2 linked regions of the Mus musculus genome follow. The protein of the gene in region 1 purifies or fractionates together with the protein of each later gene. This does not show direct contact. Links are inferred from orthologs where the notes say so. Each region holds a gene or a part of one and is shown on either strand. Other genes may lie near its edges. The genes, in order: Plekho1 and Capzb.

Region 1 (2,570 bases):
CCCTCCGAGCTTTCTGGCCTCTGCTGATAGTTTCTCTGGGAAAGGCACAGGAGAGGAGGTTGCTGTATCATCCCACATTCCAGACTGTGTTGCTGTGAATCTCTCTGGAGTGATTCTCCAGAGTGTTTAAGGCCCTCTTCCCAGTCAAAAAGCAGGGAGCCCTAGAAAGGGGAGAGCCCTGGGGAGCCAAACCTTGCCAGGCAAATGGCAATAGATGAATTTTCCCCACGTTCCTCCTCAGCACATGTGCTCAGCAATTCAGAAGGATGGGCAGATCGGCCACGGGCTGAGCCTTCTTATACACGTTCGCTTGGTTTCAACTGTTTCCCAGGGAGACATGACCAGCTCATTCCTGGGATATCCCCAACCAGGTGGAAGAGAGGGATAGCCTGCTGTCAGGAAGTAGTCTCCTGTAACATCCTACGATAGAAGAGAGCAGGTGGAAAGAACACTCGGAACCATCGTACTCACTCCCTGAGGCCAGAGGCAGCCCTTTGTCCCTTCCAGATGTTGCCCTTTGTCCCTTCCAGATGTTGGCTGCCTTTCCCCTTCCCCTGGACGTTAGTGGTCACTCTTGTCTTCCTTACTTGGAATGATCAGAGCAGTCCATTCACCATGTCCCTTTAAGGACATGCCCCTTTAAGGACTTGTAAGCTGCGTCCTTCAGAGACAGAGGGTCATGGGCAGAGGGAGGCACGGGGACGGTAGCTTGGGGGGAGTGGGTTAAACAGACCACCATACAGGGACTCAGGTCTCAGTCCCACCCCCCAGTACACACCTTAGGTGGGCTGGCTTCCTGCTGTCCTTCTTGCTCCACTTTCTTCTGGAGGAGAGAAAGAGTAATTTTATCCTCATGACACCCCACCCTCTCATAGGTAAAAGATGAGAAAAACAGTCAGGAGGTGTTTGACCTGAGTGACTATGAGAAGTGCGAAGAGCTCCGGAAATCCAAGAGCAGGAGCAAGAAAAATCACAGCAAGTTCACCCTGGCCCGGTGCAGACAGCCGGGCACCACGGTAGGCTCGCCCTCGCTGTGGCCCTAGCTGCAGGGGCCATAATTATTTTCCCTCTGGCTTTTATTATTTAACTGGAAAATATTCTGACCATTTCCCTTCCTCTGGGCAGGCCAGCCTATAACCTATTTAGCCATAAAGAAGTCTCTCTCTCCCCACCCCTTCCTCTCCCCTCCCCCACTCACACACACACACACACACACACACACACACACACATCCCTACTGTGTGTATGTACATATTCTCTTGGGAGAAACATTATTGGTGCTTCTTCCCTGATGGGTGTCTGAAGTTCAAGGGAAGCCATGGTTGTCACACCCCGTGTCCTCAGACGTTTAAAGATCTAAGTGCATTCACACCTCCCCTAGTTGTCCCCAGTGTCACTTTCTTAGCCCCACCTCCACACCCATCTTTGCTAAAACAACCCGTGCGTTCTGCAGGAACAGACTCTGGGTTCCTTCCGTCACTGATCATCCCAGAAGCAGGGTCTCCCTTCCGGGAGCGGGGTGTGAGGGAGTGAGAGGATTATTTCAGGGGGTGGGTATAATGTATTTGTAATGCCCTAGCTAAGACAAGAACATTCCCCTCACAGGCACCCAACCTCATCTTCCTGGCCGTGAGTCCTGAAGAGAAGGAGTCATGGATCAACGCCCTGAGTTCTGCCATTACCAGAGCTAAAAACCGTATCTTGGATGAGGTCAGGGGCTTGCTGTGGGGCAGCGATGGGGTACTAGGGCGGAAAGCAGGCTGTGGCTCACTAGATGAGGAGGGGTGCTTTGTGGGGTCCCTTTAGTTTCACCCAGATCAGTTTCTTGGCCTTTTTTTTCCCAGTTTTTTTGAGACAGGGTTTCTTTGTGTAGCCCTGGCTGTCCTGGAACTCACTCTGTAGACCAGACTAGCAGATCCAACTGCCTCTGCCTCCCAAGTGTTGGAATTATAGGAGTGTGCCACTAAGTCCTGACTGTTCTCAGCTTCTTTAAAGGCCCTGTTGTGTCATTCCCCCACCCCCACCCCTTTTCTCTCTTAAGCCTTTTCTCTGCTGATTCGAACCCCACACCCACTTCACAACGCTTAATCTAGTCCTGGGTCAGTTGGGTCAGTAAATCCTTGTGCCTATACCCTGCTCAGAAGCAAGTGGTGGAATGGCCTGCTTCCCAGTCCAGGCGAGTTAGGGTTTGCCAAACTCAGTTGGGACAAAGTCCTAAAGAAGCCCTGTGACTCACAGTGCATCTCTTCAGGTCACCGTTGAGGAGGACAGCTATCTTGCCCACCCTACTCGAGACAGAGCAAAAATCCAACACTCCCGCCGTCCTCCAACCCGGGGACACCTCATGGCTGTGGTATGTAAAACTGCAAGAGAGTAAGCACTGCCCAGGGGCCAGTTCTGGGCTGGTCCGTCAGCTGTGTATGAGCAGGAGCACTGTTGGGATCAAAGGCTCGGGAGACCTCTCCACCCTGCGTCCCTGTCTGATGCCTCTAAACCAAAATTACTTAGTCAGCACGTAGCACAAGTCAGACATCTCTGTTCTCAAAAACTTCTGAGGAAATGAGAAATAC
Region 2 (3,914 bases), on another chromosome or scaffold:
TCTATCCACTGTTTTTCCACATCTCACCCCCAATACTTTATTAGATAGGGTACCTGGTCTCTGACCAGGTTTCAAGCTTGAAGGGGCCTTAACTCAGGACAGGGGTACTTACCCAGGCTGTAAGAGGCTCTATTCCTGGAGGTGAAATCTTACCCACAAGCCATATGCCATCATGGGCTATTTTGCTCAAAGCTGTAATTTCTCCAGCCTGCTTCCTACACAGTGCTTGGCCAATAGCTACATGATAAATACTTCCGGTGTAATGACCTTCTAAGTGCCACTCCCTTCTCTGAACTCCTGTAATATTGGTCTATGTCATTCTTGAGAGACTTACCTGGACGCTTTCTTTGCTGGTGGCTGTCCCTGCAAGCTTTCACTTGACTATAAGCTCAGAGGCCTAGGGCACAGTTTCCCCTCAGATGTTTTCTGATCTCTTCTCAGGACCTGATATGACTCTAAACGGAGGGTGAGCAAGCCGTGTAGGGGGTTGTTATAAACAAAACGTGCAATTCTAGGGCTCCTGAGTTCTAGATAACAAAACAAAATTCACTCTTTTGAACAGCAAATTTCTGGTTGGGGCTGCAGTTAAGTGGAAGAGCTTAGCCTAGCCTGCCTGAGGCTCTACGTTCAATCTTCAGACCTGAAAACAAAGAGGGATTTCTGAGTCACTATATGATTCGAGAGAGATACTCATTTAGGGAAACGGGCTGATTCTCTGTACATAATGTAAAAAAGTATATGAAACAGCATTTATTGAACCCAAATGTTCTAGTCTTCTTACCCGGGTCTTTCCCACAACTACTCTGGTAGCTATGAAGTGCAGGCAGGGATCCTTATGGCTTATTCACTTGTCATCTTTTGGTACCTAAAAGCTGCCCGCCTGGTCCTGATAGCAGGTGTTCAGCAACAGGGGCGGCAGAGCCGGCTTCCCCATGCAGGTTCCGCTCGCTCTGTAGGGGCCGGGCCTCGTCCGGCGCACCAGTTCCGGGTCCGGGTGGGTTGCGGAGGGCCGGTCCCCTCCTAGTTTCGGCGCCTTCCGCATCCTCCGCCCAGGGGAACCAGTGAACCGCTCCACCCTCAGCTAGCCCGCGTCCTGCAGCTGCGAGAAGCGAGGCTGACAGTCAGAGGAGGGACGCAAGTAGACCCAGTCCCTCCGGAACGCCACAGCCCTGGCCGCGCAGGAGCGTTGCGCCTGGCCCGCCCCTCCTGAGACAGGACACGCCCACTCGACCACAGGGCCTGCCCCCGTCCCCGCCCCCCGCGCGGCGCTCCATACTTGGCGATCGCTGCGGCCCCGCGCTCTCATTGGTCGGGAGCTGGCGGCTGGGGGGCGGGTCGGGCTGGCCGGGGCGGGGAAGGAAGGTGGTGGCTGCCCGGCGCGGGGGGGTGGGGGGGGGAGGGGGGCGCTGACCCGGATGTTCACTCTTGGGCACCCGGGGAAGTGGAAGCGCAGGGCCCTGCTGCGGGGGGGAGAGCCACAGACGCCGGGACAGGGACCGTCGCCGCCGCCGCCACCATGGTAAAGGGACCCCTTCACGGCTCCATCCCGGGACCCCTCTCACCGCCGGAGCTCGCGTCCACTCCTTCGCCGACCCGCCCGGCCCGGGAAGGGTGGGGATCCGGGGTGGGGGAGGGGCGGGGTCCCGGACCCTAGGCAGACGCCACTCTTCGGGTCCGGAGTGGGCGGCGGGAGGCCCTGATAGCCTATGACCCCGCCCTGGGCTCCATGTGGAGCCCAGTTCTTCTCCCTGCAAGTCCAGGCTAGTCTCGCCTATCCCAGGCTAGACCTTCCTTCCTTCAGGGGCCAGGCCGGGCACCCCTCTCGCAGGCCTTCATCCCATGGGCTGTACTTGGGCTCCTGCCTCGGCCCCAGGGCCCAGGCTAGGACCGTGGTTCTCGCTCCAGTGGTCCAGTCTAGGTCCCCTTCCCCCAAACTCTTCTCCTCTCCATGGCCCCAGTCTGCACCCCGATAAGCCCTTTCCAGTGAACTCTGCCTAGGTTTGTTTCCTTCACCGTCATGGAATCTTCTCTCTGCGGTCGGTCCTCAAGTGTGGCCTCTCTACTCCAGCTGTGTTCCCCCCCTCCCTGCACCTCCCTGTCCCCGGCCCTAGCCGTCCCCTTCCCCCGACTTCTCACGACTTAGCCTAGCCTGCGTCAGCCCTTCGCTGCTCTCACCCTCCCATCTAGACCCTGCTTGTTCCGTGTCCTGCTCCTGACCCAGGTGTCCCCTCTCCTGTTCCTAGGAGGCTCTTTCTGGGCAGCCTCTGGCGAGCGGGGGAGAGCCCCAGCCAGGGTGGGGGTGGTCTGGGTACTGAGCCTTTCCTAGGTTTGCCCCTTTCTGGGGAGGCCGCTTCGGTGTGAGTGAGCAGGCGAGCGAGGGAGAGAAGGGCGGCATCTGTATGCCCGGAAGGCAGAACAGGGCATTTCCCTTGGGAGGGCCTAGTGGTAGTGCGGCTAATAGAGCGCGTCTTGAGGGGTGCCCTGCCTGAGTGGGGAGCAGAGTGCTGACGGGTTGGTAAGCCAACTGGACAGGGGTGAACTCACAATTGCTCTTGTGAGGCCGCAGCCCTGGGGCTAGGGGGACACGGAGCTCAGCAGCCCAACCTACGGCCTGGACACGATGCATCCTAGCAGGCGCAGCCTTCCTTTCCCCCTGAACTGTCAGCTTGTTAGAGTTGGGACTGCTGATTATGGAGGTGCCTCGGAGCAGGTGAGCAGAAACTCACAGGCCGGAGAGCTCCCGGACTCCACTCATGGTGTTTGTTTTGGTAATGAAGACAGGCACACTATGCTAGCAACTTATTTGAGGAGCCTTAGATGTGTCACTTCCCTCCTCCCCCATACCCCTGCACCCCCTAATCTACCTGGATACCTGCAGAGCAGGCCCACCATCTTTGGTGGTGGAAGGGCCAGAGAACTACCTCACATGGTCAAGGAAGCCTTGTAAGGTAGGCTGAGAGGGAAGGCAACCCACCTGCTCCGTGTAGCCTTACAGGTGGCTCCCCTCCTGCCTGGTCGATATTTAGGAGGGGATTTTGGACCCTAGATGGTTTTGAGGTACCCTGTGCCTTGTTTTAGCAAGGGTGCAGCAACTGTATTGGGGATGACTAAGTCTGATTGGCTAGTAAACTTTCTATATATTGATTAAAAGCATAGGCAAGACAGGTTTTCATGTTATTGCTCTTGGCTGGAAACGGGCCTGGGGGTCTGAACCCCTGACCTTAGTCTGCAGGGGGAAAGGACTTGTCCAGGACAGTTTTGGGTGAGATTCTTCAAAGTAGACTGAAGTTTTCTGTGTGTACTCCCAGCACCAAAGCAGGAGAGGGTGGTGGAGTGGCCAGATGGGACTTAGTCTCCACAGAATCATCTAGGCTTTCGCTTTGTCCATCTGACAGGTGAAGAAAAGCTGGGGCATTCATTGTAACTCATTCAAAATGTTGTTGCATCTGTGTGGAGAGCACTCTTGGCCAGTGGGAGCCTGCCTAGCAGCCTCCAGACTGCGGTCTTCCTTGTCTGCTGTTGTGTGTCTGATATAATGACACTGTTGAAGAACCATAATGATGGGATGGATGCTCAGGCCCAGCCAGGGAGAGCAAGTGCTTACCTCTGCAGACTCTGGGTGGCTCTCCTGTTAGGAAATGGCCATTTTGAGACAGGAGCATAGCCTATGGGCCTGATCCCCGAGCTCTTAGGGGACAGAGATGTTGGTCTTGTGTTTTCTGCCCCTGTCTATCTGGTCCTAGAACAGTACCTAACTCTGAAAGATCTGTCGTGGAAGGCTGGGCGTGGTGCCACATACCTGCAGTCTCAGCTGTTTAAGGCATTCAAGGCCAGCTTGGGCAACAGTGAGGGTGAGACAGGAGATTGCTTAGTGTGATCTGGGATGGTCTGTGAGCGCAGCCACCCAGGTTTGA

What was found.
Region 2: the proteins of Plekho1 (region 1) and Capzb purify together in Homo sapiens (co-immunoprecipitation; 3 studies listed by BioGRID and IntAct, counting the BioPlex papers as one, with this or other methods). This does not show direct contact. The link is inferred for Mus musculus from reciprocal best matches to the Homo sapiens genes PLEKHO1 and CAPZB.

What each region holds. Positions count from the first base shown.
Region 1 is NC_000069.6:95,990,584-95,993,153, reverse strand, and holds part of Plekho1 (pleckstrin homology domain-containing family O member 1), read left to right. Parts: intron 1-875; coding exon 876-1,016; intron 1,017-1,605; coding exon 1,606-1,710; intron 1,711-2,238; coding exon of another isoform or gene 2,239-2,251; coding exon 2,252-2,353; intron 2,354-2,570. UniProt on the Homo sapiens protein: Plays a role in the regulation of the actin cytoskeleton through its interactions with actin capping protein (CP).
Region 2 is NC_000070.6:139,191,510-139,195,423, forward strand, and holds the start of Capzb (F-actin-capping protein subunit beta), read left to right. Parts: upstream 1-1,389; 5' UTR 1,390-1,516; coding exon 1,517-1,519; intron 1,520-2,491; exon of another isoform or gene 2,492-2,620; coding exon of another isoform or gene 2,621-2,710; intron 2,711-3,914. UniProt on the Homo sapiens protein: F-actin-capping proteins bind in a Ca(2+)-independent manner to the fast growing ends of actin filaments (barbed end) thereby blocking the exchange of subunits at these ends.